2 linked regions of the Lepisosteus oculatus genome follow. The protein of the gene in region 2 interacts with the protein of the main gene of each other region in a biochemical or structural test. Links are inferred from orthologs where the notes say so. Each region holds a gene or a part of one and is shown on either strand. Other genes may lie near its edges.

What was found.
Region 1: the proteins of cltb (region 2) and huntingtin-interacting protein 1-related protein form a complex in vitro, tested with the Homo sapiens proteins (2 studies listed by BioGRID). The link is inferred for Lepisosteus oculatus from reciprocal best matches to the Homo sapiens genes CLTB and HIP1R.

What each region holds. Positions count from the first base shown.
Region 1 is NC_090717.1:7,337,398-7,345,152, reverse strand, and holds the start of huntingtin-interacting protein 1-related protein, read right to left. Parts: upstream 3,025-7,755; 5' UTR 2,506-3,024; coding exon 2,413-2,505; intron 1-2,412. Other genes in the region: ccdc62 (coiled-coil domain-containing protein 62), read right to left, coding at 5,857-5,937, 6,545-6,619, 7,709-7,755. UniProt on the Homo sapiens protein: Component of clathrin-coated pits and vesicles, that may link the endocytic machinery to the actin cytoskeleton. Binds 3-phosphoinositides (via ENTH domain).
Region 2 is NC_090706.1:37,377,054-37,384,479, reverse strand, and holds the start of cltb (clathrin light chain B), read right to left. Parts: upstream 3,011-7,426; 5' UTR 2,810-3,010; coding exon 2,641-2,809; intron 1-2,640. Other genes in the region: faf2 (FAS-associated factor 2), read left to right, coding at 4,933-4,995, 5,989-6,057, 7,418-7,426. UniProt on the Homo sapiens protein: Clathrin is the major protein of the polyhedral coat of coated pits and vesicles.

The sequences.
Region 1 (7,755 bases), on a different chromosome or scaffold from region 2:
TGCCATTTGGAAACTTTCAGTCTCTCTCTTATGCATGCGAAATGTGATGTGTCAGGGGATGCAGTGATTTCTAACCTTCTAAAACCTTAACAATCATGATAGTGCTTTCTTCATCTTGAGTCCACTAATTAGCTTGCTGCCCGTTTAATTTGCTGCTCATGGACTGACTCCCTAGGGCCTCCCAGAATCACAACACTGCAGGTCATCAATCTTTGTCCAAGCTAAGGTTTTAACATCGGAGTGCATTCAATTCTTCCTAAAAAGAGGAACTAATTACATTCCTCAGTGAAAGCGTGCTGACTTTCTACGAACTTTCACATGCTAGTACTACTGTAATACAAAATCATTAAGAAGCAGCAAAACAGACTCCACACTATTATAGAGGTACCATTATGACTGCTTAAAAAGAAAGCATACATTTTGTTCAAAGCATACTGACACCTTAAGATGCACCAGCCCAGTTTGCTTTCAAGGGGGTCCTGCTAGTCTGTTCAAAATTCGACATAAAAAAGTCAGGTCTGACCTAAAAAAAAATGTTGCAGTTATACGGAAACAAATACAAATATTTGTATCACTTTATCAAGAACAGGATTCACTGTATACTGAATGACTCCAAAATCTGTTTCCGTGCGATGTGACCTCCACTGTGGAGGTCGGAATCGCCCCAGCCTGAATGGCAAGAGGGGAGGCCCTCGGCTCACGCCCTCCTGCTCTTCGTCCCCCCCCCCCCCGTCTGCATCATCATCATCATCATCACTCCTCCAAGTTTTTCCCTGTGCTTGGAGTCTGAATTTCAGAAACAAAAAAGACCTCAAGAGGGCGTTTCCCATTCAATCATTGCTCATCCCGAAAGGTGCCGAGTGATGGGATGAGATGAGCCCGTCCCGCTCGGAGCGAGACCGGACAATTTCTCCCCGCTGGACTCGCTTCCTCCCGGAGCTCGCCGCTCGCCTTTTCATTTGGTTTTTGTTATCCATACGCCGCTGGTCATGCAGAACCCCTCCAGTTCTGTTCAAGGGTTCGCACTTCCCAGATGTTTCCGGGTTCGACTCCAGCTCAGGGGACCAGTCTTGTGGAACAGGCATTCTCCCTCCCCTATGATTAATTTAGTGTGCAAGCTGTGTGCTTTTGTCCCCTTCCATCTCCCACAGAGATGAGGTTTGATTGACCCGTTTGAACTGCCCCGTTTTGGGAAAGGGGTGTCAAGGAGAATTAATCTTTTTTGGGGGGGCTGTTCGCATTACAGTGGCTGTGATAAACTGATAAACTGGACCAAATGGCCGTAATGGGTCGAATGTAACAGAAAACCCACTGGAATCACAGGAATTTCCGTCAAGTCTGAAGCTCCATGCCCCAGGGGTCACGGGAGCCTGTTTTCCGAAGTTGTTTGCTGACACCCACGATTAAGCTGCTTGAACAGGTATCGCTTGTACATCAGGCCGATCACGTTAAGTGTAAGCAAAGCCTCCGACAACGTCCTTTTCATTGAATCCTGACGTGCACAACTTCCCTAATCAGCTGGGAGCAAGTCGGTGGTAGCTAGGGAGGCGCCCTCGCAGGGCTACAAGGAGGCATTCATGCTGACGTTCGCCCGTAGCTCAGGTTAAAAAAACAAACGTGGAAGAATGAATGTTTTCATCAGGTGTTGTTTCGTAGCCATCATTTGTGCACTCACCTTTGAATGACGTATTTTGCGTGGAAGACAAACTTTCTAAAAAGAAATCACCACCTTGCCGGTTTATGTATGTAAACCAACACCAACCAGTCCCCTTTTCAGCAAAATACCGCAGACTCAACTGACCTGTCAACTGTATATTGAATTCTTAGCAGTTATTATCCACGTCGGGATTTTAAAAGCGCGAATTTAGGACTTTTATAACGATGCATTTTGAGGGGTCTTTTTTTTTAAGCTGTCTGAGTACTGTGAACTTATTTTGGGACACTTCCCTGTCTAGATTTAAGCAATCTCTTTAATTAATGTGCAATCTCCTCCCCGCCACTGCGCTCCCCAGCCGGGTTTCAACACCGAGAACAAAACAGAAGTAATATTACACAAACAAATTACAAAACAAGGACAGTTAATGACCGCTTTGATAGCTACGGCTACACAGAACAGACACCGAATGATTGACATCATGTTTCTGCCCTGCACATTTTTTTTTTTCAGCTCAAGAAGCCAACCTAGGCTGGCTACCACTAAGTAAACACCATTTCCCCCACAAAATGCTTGAGTTCTCTTCGAAAGATTTCACTGACATGGGGACGACGACACCTTTTGAACTCTTCCCGTCTTGTCACGTAGGACACAATGTATACGTACACGTGAAATTAATTCTATTACTCGCCCAGTTGTAGGACTTTAAATTATCAATGAACCAAGCCCACCGGTTTACAATGCGATATTCTCTTTACCTGCTGCTTGTCAAAATGCTCTTTCTCCGCCCCCAAACTGTTCTCATTTCTTCTGCTTTTCACCCTGGAAGGCACCTGTCGTATCGAATTCATCCTCCGCTCCGGCAGCTCGGGAGACGAATATGCCTCTGCCTCTGGTGTCGATTATGCACTTGATAAAAAATCACCCTTTTGTTTTTTAAAAAACAAAAACAAAAACAAAACAAAAAGCAAGCCGGGGGATACGACGAGCTGGAGCGACCAGTCCAAACGACGCGCGTGTGTTTTTTGTTTTTTTTTTTCCGGTTGCCCTTTAAAACACAAAGGAAAACAAAACAAATAAAAACACAAAAAGCCCCCCCCAAAAAAAAAAACAACAGCTCCCGGCTGGCCGCGCTAGTGCAGGGGCTGGCTCCGCCGTGCAGAGTTAAATGAACGCAGCATCATGGGAGAAGGAAGAAAAAGGCACTGCTGTGTGTTTGCGATACGTGGATCCCAGCCCAGGTTGCACAGAACACGGACATAGCAACGCGCTTTCCTGAATGGGCGGAATGAGAGAAGGGGGGGAGGAGGGATAAGAGATCAGTCTAGAAGAAAAACTGTATACAGTTTTCCCCACCAATCAATCAACGCACAAAGCTGCTGGGAGTCGGATTCACGTTCCGGCCATGCCCGGTAATGTCTTTTTTTTTTTTGGTGGCGGGCTCTGCCAATGGGAAACTCCCCTGCGAATTGGCCCCGATCGTATCAAGTGCGATCAGATTTTCATTAAACGTTTGGATTTGCCTGCTGCAGAAATCAGCAGCGGCATCTGCCATTATAAATACACGCTACACAACGTCAGTGCATTTTATTGGGCTTCCACAGAAGTATTCAGACGTCTAGAAATTTCATATGTTAACATGGATTTCCTATTGCATTATGTAGGCTATATAAATACACTGAATGTATAAAACGGATTGCAGCGTGCTGCTTATTTGAATATGAAGTCGAAGAGTTTAATTAGCTGATATTTATTTTAAAATGTATTTTGTATCTTTAAAAACGGTACACGACATATGTGAGAAAGTTTTATTTGAGCAATTCCGATACAAATAACAATGACCATTTAAAAAAAAACATACAATCTTCAGAAAAATACTGTTAAAAATAATGCACTTTACAAAACCTAAAAAAAAACAATTTCAGAGTACACTTGTGCTCAAATCTGAATTGCACAGTATTGATACATATTAGGTTTATAGTTCTGTTTTCCGTCCTCATGTCTGTAGTGCTTTTTGATATGTACAAGAACCAACGGTAATAATATAGGGCAGTTTCAACCACTTCCCTATAGATGTTCACAATACTGTCAACAGGCACGAAGAAAAACTCAGTACTGACGCCTCTAGAGACTCTGTCTTCACGACATAAAGTCACTGTACTTCTGCAACATGTCCAAATTGTTCTGCATCTCCTTACGTCAACTGCTAGAAAAAAAAACTCACACCCTTGTACACTGGCGGAACTCTGAAACGAGGGGCAATCTGTTTTCTTACGATTCAGAGTGCAAGATACCACTGTAATAACATTCCCACTTGCCCCGCTGCTGCGTAAATATTGCTTTTTAGAGGATTCAAAATACATAACACTCAATTAGACAACAAAGGTTTAATTTAAACCGAGAAGCTTGGTAAATGAGGCTGGCAGAATTTCAGAAAACACCTTACCACTGTTATAGTGCACGCATTTAGTATTTGAAATGTGAGGGAAATAAATTAGCTGTCTGAATGTACATCACGGTAATCTCACGATGTCCTCACCAGCAGTGAATGAAGTAAAACAAGTCACTGTATCCCCTGATGCTGTAGTACTGTACCTTATTAGAACGTTCTGTCCTCAACATTTTAGCTCATTTATAATTTAGAGTAACACTCAGGTGAATACTAGAACAAAATATCTTCTTTGAATTTGAAAACTATCACATTTTTAGCTAATGTTCCCAAATTTGCAGATTTTTCCGTGCTAAAAAAAGGTGTGAGGCAAGACTTTGACATTATCATGTAATGAGTGGAACAGTAAAATGACTGTACAGTCAGACAAAATTTAATGGAAATAGGTTTACTGGCAGGAGACAGCAGAGTTTTAATAGTTGAAGAACTGCTGTCAATTAATATTTTAAAGCTATTGTGGACCTTTCACAAGCCCAGAAAACAAATGATATTCACTAGACCTTGAATGCCAATGAAGTTTCCTCAACATCACTCATTTAGTGTGAAGACAATCTGGGATCAAGTTAAATCTAGGAGTGAAAGCTTGTTTCACCCCTGTGGAAAATACGTCTCACAGAGCCCAATGTTTTAAATACTGCTGGTTTTAAAAATCTAGATTTCTCCAGGTTAATCAGGGGAAAACTACTTAATACTTTTTTGAAAGCCCAGGTATCTCTAATAAAATAGATGCCCACTCAGATTCAGTATGAATCATTTAGCTCTTCATTTCTGACCTGTTAAAATAGTTTCTATTAAAGAGTGCCATGTCTTAGATTACTGTATTTAATTGCTCGTTTCATTCCAGTTACTGTACTGTATTTGTAAGGTGAAACTACATGTTAGTGATTGTATGAAAAAGGTTCTGACATCTGTATTAAAACCCGCAAACGTCATATTTTAGGCTCTAGTGTCTGTGGTGCACCCTTAACAGTACATTTGTATTTCTAATAGAGAAGAGTTGGACTTCTAACAACAGTTTTGTCCACAAATGATTCAAACATAAAAATGCATATACTTAAATATTTCTTTTATAATTGATGTGTCTTTCAGATAATAAAATTATATTTTAAAAAACCCAAGCCAAGACTAATGCCATCTAAAGATCTGGTAGGTCAATAAATCTTAGATCTCATGTGCTATTTTTTCCTATAGGCATTAACAATATATTTTACATGGAAAGTGCAACCACATTCCTGTTGACTACAGATCTCTTTTGTATTTAATACAGAAACTGAAACTCAATTTCTGCTTTTTGGTTACTCCTTTATAATACTTAAGTCATTATTTTTATGTTGCTATCTAAAACTATCGAGGTCTAGGCAAGTGAAAACAGATTTTTGCATTACATTTTGTTTCCAGCATTAATTTAAAAAAATAAATTACTGTTTATTTTTAAAAAACTTTCGCATTCTTTAAAGAATGAATTTATTATCACATGCATAAAATACAGCGGGACTCTTTTTTAACTTTGTGTCTGTTTGCATTGTTAGCATCTGAGGAAACGCCTACCCTAGCTATTAGACTCTAACAGTGGTCTAGGAGCATAAGACATTCCTTTTTTATGGTACATATTTCTGCATCCCTGTGCAATCCAGGCATCCCAGCGTCATTCAGAACTTTCACCTCCACCCACAGTTCCACGGAGATAGCTGGCTTTGAACACATGGGTAGCCTTTGCAGTCCAATTCACGGCCTCCCAGATACCTGATGCGTCTTAGAGATTAACAGGCAGCTGCTGTGTGTCCAGGTTTAAGAGGCTGCCTGCTACACTTCTCTTAGAACAAGAATTTTGGTGCTGTGGAATCAGAAAAAATAACAGTAAGACAAACTGCATCTTTGTTTTCTACGCTTATATTGAGACACAGAATACTCTCACATCACCACTCTCCTAAATCCAAACTTTTCTGCAGTGTTACTCTTTTATGCAACAGGACTGAAAAGTGCATCAGTCTGTGGTTTAATCTTTGTGTTACCCTAGTGAATTATTTCAGCTGGCCACTGCCAATTAATAGGGCGGAGTGGTGGCTCTGTGGCTATGCGCCTGTGACTGGAAGGTTGCCGGTTCAAATCCCACGGCCGGCAGAGGAATCCTACTCTGTTGGGCCCCTGAGCAAGGCCCTTAACCCTAACTGCTCCAGGGGCGCCGTACAATGGCAGACCCTGCGCTCTGTCCCCAAGCTTCTCTCTCCCTGTCTGTGTGTCTCTGTCTCCATGGAGAAAAGCTGGGGTATGCGAAAAGACGAATTCCTAATGCAAGAAATTGTATAGGGCTAATAACGAAAAATTATACATTATTATAAAACATTATACATTATTATAAACATTAATATAGAGTTGTATTTGCACTTGACTTGATTTGATAGCCTTTGTTTTCCCAGCCTGTATTAAGAAACAATATTTACCTTGGAGTGCGTGGAACCTTCAAGCAGCTGGGTGTCTCTGAGGAACTGTTCTCTGCTGTCCAATGCCTCAACACTCTATTCAGAATTTCAGAAACAAAACACCAGTCAACGTACCACATTACCTTTAAGATCAAGTTTTAAGCCTTGAAGTCGGTATTCAAAAATATAAATAATTGTAAACAGAAAAATATAAACTTCAGTTTATTATAAAGTAAAAACAGTCCTCACACAGCAGTCCATCCATCTGCCTTTAAATCCTGCAAAAAATCTGATCTTTTAAAAATATTAACTCTGGATGGTACTTCAACTAAACATTTCTATTTCAGTAGGCTTGAGTGGTGAATGACTGTATTAGACTGTGAATGACAGGAGATTATAAATAGAACAGCGCATTATTACAGGATTGTGTGTGCCAACCTAATATCATATTATTTCACTCAAGTTACCCTTTGTGTGTGAAAGTGAAGCAGAAATACCTAGAGATTCTGCAAATTAGGCAATAAAGCCGCCTGTGCTCTATGTAGCAAAATGTCACAGAACAAAATGCAAGATAGCATGACACAATTCACCCCTAAAAGCAGATTAACAAGGCAGCTCTACAGTAAGAAGATTATGGAGATTAGGAAACCCGATTGATTGGGGAAGCCAACACGAGATCATTCAGACTGACAGGGTTAGTGGGCTAGCAGGCCACAGATCTCTATGAAACAAAAACAATAAAGCACCCCCACATATAAAGTCCAACAAACTCACAATATATTTAAATACGTTCTTGTAAGTTCAATAAAAGCACAATATTTAATAATGTGTTTCCTTTAACAGTCAGGGTAATAATTGTTCTTATTCTTTCGAAATACAGATCTGAAATATATTAAGGCATATTGTGAGTAAATAAAATGCATTCTTTTCTCATAATATTATATGGAAATACAGTAAGCATCAAAGAAAAACAACTGTGCAAGAACTGATGTCACCATTGTAATGGTAAAGCAGAGCCCTATTAATTTATTTTTAAAAGGTTGACAAGTTTTCTGGCCTCAAAAAAAGAAATGCAGATTTATGAAATAAGAAATGGTGTTTGATCTCTAATGGGCTTTGCTAATCCCTGCTGTCTGGTGTCAAAGAGCCCTAAGCCAGAGGGAGCTGCTGGTAGAGGCGACATACCCTGCTGCTGCCACTGCTGTCCAGGCTGTGCGCTGGGCTGGCCGGTC
Region 2 (7,426 bases):
TCTTGTGGAATAATCTATATCTGAACACACTTCTTCTGCATGCTTGCTAAAATGACCCTATCAAATAACTCCTTTTGCTTCTAGGTTGTCAGAGGTCTCCTAGGGTTCAGATCACATCCTGAACAAATTCCACCTTACTTCCATTTAGTATGTTGTTTTAAACACATCCACTCTAAGGGCTATGGGGGAAATTTTAGATGGAAGAACCTCAAATTAAAAAAAATATATATTGTAAAAAGTTAACCTATATCTTACTCTAAGGTCTTTCACAGCCTCACTAGACACCTCCTCTGAATGAAATGTAGTTTAGCAGGTCTACCCAACTGTTGTCAAGCCAGTTCAACAGCAAAAACCCTTCAATGGGCCATTACTTGAACTATAGCAACCTCTATATTTTTCAGTTTATAAAAGATAAAGATCAAGATCACAGACGGCAACATCTTAAGCCTTTTTACAACAACATACTTTTAAATGACTGAGTACAGAACCATATGTAGAATACACATCTGAATTAGGCACCGGTACATGAAGACAGTACTACCTGCTGACTTGACAACTTGCTCATTAATAGCCTGACATATGTTCTAAAATTATATGACTGTGTCTCAGTGAATATGTCCCCATTCACATCAAATAACTCACATTCCAGACGTTTGGCTTTATGGCACAACAGCTTGCATTGTGGATGCTCTTGGTTATCCCCGGAGCTCCATCCACAAACTCGAGCCACCAAAGTCCTTCGGGGTTATATGATGTGAACAGGATCACTGCCTTGAAGAGGCTAGTACCTGGCCATGACGAAGCCACACAAAATGATCAGGCACGTCTGAAGAAAGGCTTGTGTGCAGACTGCGACGTGTGGAATACCCATGAGAAAAAAACGTTCACACAGAACACGGGGACGCTATTCTCTTCCGAGCTTCCAAGACGCGACTGCTGTTGCACGATTACACAATGAAGACGAGTGGCAGATTTAATAGGGTCTCATTTATAGTATGATACTGGAACCATCTCAGAAGTGCTTTACTCTAATTTATTTATAGAAGCAGCGCCCTATACTCAGAAAATGGCTTCTGTGAAGCACTAAGCCACAACCAGGTTTATCCCTACGGGGACCTGCTGAAAAAGCATTGCTTTAGAGGCCTGAAACCTTAAAGGCAAAGATTGAGGCCGTCTGTCACAGCCTGCGCTCCCCTCCAATGCTTCCTTCCTTATCAGTGCAATCGGGATTGTCGTCCAATGCCCGCAGAAAACAGGCTCTCAAAGGAAAACTCCATCCAGGGCGGGAAATCTGCCCCTAGCCTCTCCTTTCTCTGCCAGCCTCTTTGATTTACAGAACTGTGTGCTGCTTATCCCCTCGCTTTTGTTTAATCAGCGTCAGTACCACGGGAAAACAGATGATGGCAAAGTTTCTGCTATTTCTGCTGAAAGATTTATTGACCTCATGCCTGCCGGGGTTCAGGAAATCGGCATCGCACGAACAGCACTTTCAGATGTCAGCCTTTAAAAGGCCCACATGGAATAGCTCAGCATTATTAGAACACAAGCTAAATTTGCTTAAAACCTAAAAGAGGAAAGTCGGTAGACAAAAGGTTTCCTAAATAACATTTTATCAACCACTCGGCCTACATTAATGTGACCTTGGATACAACTCACGCTGATTTTCTGTCTGCTATGCTTAGCAGGTGGCTGGAATAATACCTGGATTAAGATACGGTTAAGGTTAATTAAGGTTATTTACTCATTCTTAGATCCTAATTCTCCAAGCGGGAAAAGAGAATGGTATCCTATTTTACCTTCTGTCCCTTACCAAAACACTAACAAATCACAGTCCTTTTTCTTATAGCTGACATTGCCACAGATCAAGAGCAAGTAAGAGGTTTATTCCCTGCTGAAAAGAGAAGAAAGAAAACATAACGTTTCGGCTGTGGAGCCTTCTTCGATGCGATACGTTTCCTTTCTTCTCTTTTCATCAGGGAATAAACCTCTTACTTGTTCCTTTGCTGCCTACGCATGCTGACGCAGCTACCCACCTGAGCGTGTTTTGAATGAGCTACTTTTTTCTGTATTTCTATACTGTACTGTAACACCGTGGCGGGGAAGCTTTTGGTTTTGGGAGAAACGAGACCCGACCCTACTCCACAGAAATCACCTCGTTTGTCCCATTTCTTTAGCTGGAGAGAAACAAATCACCTCTTTGCTGGACATTCAATCGGTCCTTACTGGAACCCAACAGTAAGATGAAGCGTTCTGGCAAACGGGACAGATAAAACACCGATTTCTGTCACTATTTCGAGGTACAACAAAACTAAAAAAAAAAAAGACGACCAAATATACAGTACTATAGGCGCCACTTTTAAAATGGGCATAGTATTGTCACAGCAAGCCCAATGACTTCTGGCTATGCACTCAAATACTCTCCTTTCAAAAACACAGCAAGTTAGGCTACACTTGGCAAGTAATGGAATAACCAGAACCAGAAAACCACCGCATTTACCATTTTCAGCCTCCGTTTTAAAAGCCAGCACCTTTTTTTTTTAAAATACCAATATCTCCTAAATTCCAGCTCTTTCTGCTCGAACAGCCGATCGCAGTTAAAGCAGCTGCGCTGATGACCGCTGCCGCGGACCCTGTGCCCACCATAACTCTGCAGCGGCTGGCCAGCCCCCTCCAGAGCCCCGAAGCCTTCGTCATTTTCAATCCCGGCGATCTCGCTCTCTTGCTGGGCTAAGAACGCCGCCGCCGGGTCCTCCTCGGCCGGGGCTGCTCCGTTGTCGGAGGACGAGAAGAAACCGAAATCGTCAGCCATCTTTCTTCGGGGTGTTTTTTTTTTTCCGAGAGAAGAGATGAACCGTGCAAACAATACAATGCACTGTCTGGGCTGTATTCGCACAGGAACACCCAAGCACTCGGACTCCAGGAACTGAGCACTTCCTAAACCCTAGGCAAGCACTTCCTTTCCTCCCCCAGCTCACACAGGAACAAGATACGAAATGTCAAAGCAGGCGACTGGGAAATGACATCATTGGGGTCATTATCATAATTTTGGCTGATGTGTGCTAATCCAGTTCATGGGTGGAAACAAAAGACACTTATGTGAATGCAGTCACATGGCCGCACACAAAACACTTTTATGTGTACTTTAAAGCTTCAAAGCAGCAGAGCACATTTCCACTATGGTGAGGAGTAGAGAAGGAGAAAGTTACAGTAGCTTTATAATGTATGGCTACAGGCATTTGTGAATGGCTTATCAGTTCTTCCCAGGACGACAGTAATATCATGGTGCAAACTCCATTATCACCACATAAACAATATTTTCAAACACAGGTGATGGTTTGTAGTAAAACTACAAACTGAAGGTTGATCATTGGTCGTGTTTCATCTGGATAGTGTAAACTTTGTGAGGCTATTTTTATATGCGCTAACTCAACTCAGAATGTTACAACTAATTGTTATTTTAGGAACCTCACTGAAATAGCATCGCATCCTTCAAAGTCGGGAATTAGTTTTCGCACAAGCATTATTTGTTTTTCCACGAAATAATCTAAAGACCCCTTTGAAACTCAAAGCTCAGAAGATGTAGACAATTTTCCATGCAGCTACAGTGTATAATGTATGTTGTACTCAACGGTTTGTACACCTCCCAGTATTTAAATGTTAAGTACATAGGCAGTTTTACTATGTTGGACTGCATAAGGTCGACGTGCACTTCTTTCACTCTGTAGAGAATCTTATAAAATATCAAGGTGGAATTCAGCCCAAATCGTTTTTTTTTCCTATGGCTATGTAGCAGTAAATTACGTTAAGTATGATTACCTTGGAGGTAGTGGCTGAGAGGAGAATGGTGTCCAAATTAATGGTCATCATGAACAACGTCTCCCATCCCCTCTATGACAGGCTTGTGAGAATGAAGAGCGCGTTCAGCAACAGGCTGACCCAACCAGGGAGCGCTACAGAGATCATTCTTGCCTTCTGTCATAAGACTGTACAACTCATCCACTGTGTGTCTGTGCAGGGGCAACACTGACCTGTTTTTGGACTAAACATGAATTCTCTGTTTACAGCTGGTTTTCCTGTATACAACTGATTTTTGTGCAATATATTTATAATGTGCAATACATCTTTTTGTGTACTGAACATCCTGGTTTGTCTTGTCTTCTTCTACACTGTGAGCAATTCTGTAAACTCAATTTTTGAAGTACTTACTGTATTGTGTATTATGGTGTGATTTCGTTACACTGTGCTGTGTTGAGTGTGCCAAACTGCCGTTGCACTGCAATTTCCCTAAGATTAATAAAGTATCTATTATGTTTGCTGATTGTTAAACCAAAGATGTTACAGTATTGTGGTTATGGGCAATTTCTGCCAGCAATAAGCGGCACCAGCACTTAACTCCTGATTTTGTAAAATGTATTAAATAAGACTACAGTAAAATATATGAAACAGTTAAGATGAAACTGTCTCCTAGAAAAAAAAACAGCGAGTATATATATATAGCCACTATCACAATTTAAAAAACTTTTTTTAGCCCACGAGAGGAGCGTCTATGAGCTCGTAAGAAAGGGGGCGGGGCTAAATCTCGGGTCGCATGTTTTCATTGGATGAGAGACATTACGTGCGCGCACCCGAATATTTTGTTTCCGTCTTTTTTTTCCCCCTTTATCTACAGTCATGGGGCAGTAGAACAACAGATAGTCCGTTCTCCATGAAAGAAGGAGGAAACGATAGCACAATTTGTCGGTAGACATTCTTGTCACACGGGGACAGTATGGTTGACGGAATAATTACTTTGGGTTGTGGCTGTTTTATTTTATCGCTCAAAGCAAAGTGAATTTTCTCTCTCTCTTCCCCAACCTCCTCCTTACCTTCTGCCTCTGTCAGAGTGTTACGTCAGTTCCGGTCTGCTCTGTTGCGGGGGTTTGGCGAGGCAAGATGGCGGCGCCAGAGGAACAGGAATTATCTCAGGAGCAGACTGAGAAACTCCTGCAGTTTCAGGTAATCAGGAAGCACATGCTGGATGAAACAACGAGGAAAACAGTCTGGATACTTTCCCCGCCTTGCACGTGAACTAACCAAATGCTGAGGGCAACACACTTTTCTAGAAAACTGGAGATTTCGAACAGAGGATTGAGGAGGGGGGGAGATTTAGATTTTCAGACAGGTATCTTACTCAGTGATTCGTATTTAACGGTGTAGGGGTAAAAAGAGCCCCCATTCCTTGTATTGATGACTTTAAACCATTAGAGTTGATAGTTTTCCACCTGCTGATTAACTGTATGAAAGTTCCATTAAGGACCTGACCCTCACCTTAAAGTGAAAATGAAGAGCAAGGTATACAGTAGATCAGAGTGGATAACACTCAGCATAATAGCATAATTGTATAGGAGAGAGAGATTATAATCGGGAGCTCATCATTCTTTATCAGCAATACAGTAATCTAGATACATATGTGCTTTTGCTCAAGGAAAAGGTAGTGTTCATGAAGTACAGGAAAGGTGCTTGGAAGTTTGTTACGTGTGAATTGACTTTTTAGCTTTTGTAGGTTCTTCATTATAATGCCATGTAAAGCAACAACGAATTGCCTTGATGTTAACACATTGTTTAGCAAACGGGGCAGTTAAAATCAGCATTTTCATGTCTAAGCAGTAAGGTATGGTGGTGCTTTGTATGTTAAGGTTAGGTTTAGTTCTAAAAAACAATGTTGAAACACTTAGATGCTAAAGATTCTTAGTTCCTTTTTGTGTATGACTGATTATTCTGATGTTTTGATATGGTCCCAGTAGTAGGTTTAATGCAGATGAGCTTGAAACCTTATTTAGCATTCATGTACTCAATATTGTTTATTGCTCAAGGGTGAAACAGAAAAGCCAAGTTACAGATATTTTGCTGAGTAAAATCTCTGGCACTGTTTGTTTCCATATAGATTGTGTGTTCTTTACAAGCATTCTGTATATATGTTTATGTAACAATGTTTTTAATGTCTTTCAGGACCTGACAGGTATAGAGTCTATGGATCAGTGTCGCCGCACACTGGAACATCACAATTGGAATATTGAGGTATGATTTTCTAAATGCTCTCTTTTTTTGCTTGGTTGCAGACTCATCTCCATTTTGAGCAGATCGGAGAGCAGAGAACAAATTAGTGTGATCCTTATTGCCCATGAGGTTGTGGGCTCTTTTGAAAGTCATCCAATCTGTTGAAATGTTTTTCAGTACCGATGGTAGAAAATGTATTCAGTTAGTGCAGTTTTCTCAATTTAAAATGCCTGCCGCCTTCTTGGTTTTTAACAACATTTTTAATCATAGTCATATGTCAAACATGGGGCAGTATTTCAGATTAAGAACTAATCTAATTTAAGGTTTGTGATTGTATAGCCTAAAAAATGACTGAAATTTGGGAAGAAAAGGAGTCTGTTGATAGCGAACATTTTTTGGTAATAGGTAGATGACATGCCCCGCACATCATATGAATATAGATTAAAGCTGTGATTAGCTTTTGTGCATCAGAAAAGAACCTTTTCTTGTGACGTTGGCAAATATGTGCATTTCAGCAACGTCAGTATAATGGCAAGGTTTGCTTCAAATGGAATTCGTTTGGACTGATTCTGAATGTCACAAGGCCAGTTCTAGAATTATTTTCTTCTCATTCATATTTGATTTGAACGGGATTAGAAGACCTACGAAGTGTCAGTTTAACTGTCTCCTTTGTTAAAATGTTGGGATTACTCCTCACGTTTGTCTGTCAATAAATCACTGACCTACATTGGTAACAGATGTCTGTTTTCAGTCTAATAATGCTCTGTTATGGTTCTGACATGCTTGTAGGGAATAGCTCTTTCAGTTGGCTTCCTTAGTCCCTGCATTCAATCCAAATGAATATTTTAGCACAAGTTTGAGAACAAATCATAGAAATAAGTGTTTCTCGAACAAGGAACAAGATTAGAATTGCCATCACCATAATACTTTACTGTGAACTTTATATGTAATTTAAGCAGTCCTACAGTACATGTAGGAATATTTGTCTTGCAATTAATTATCAGTAAAAATATTCCTATTAATTTATCTCCAAATTACAATTGAACATTTTGAATCTCACCAGTGAAGGAGGCTGTATGGAGTCTTAAGTTCATTAAGTTTACATTACCATGGTTACCATAGAAATGAATTTTCATTAGTGAGGGGTGTGCACAGTTTGAAATGTTATATGCCTACTCTGAAGTCCATCCATGCATATGAGTGACTTCTTTGGCAGCAATATTACTGTAACGTACTGTGCTGAAATTGTCCACATTTATGCTTTGTAATTGCTGTCAGTAAGCGCAAATAACATGCTGCTGCAGCTGCTGGCTCTAGCAGGCCTCTGTAGCTGCTTAGTGGCTCCCGGTTTCATTTTGAGTGATGCTGACTCTTGTCTCAGGCAGCTGTA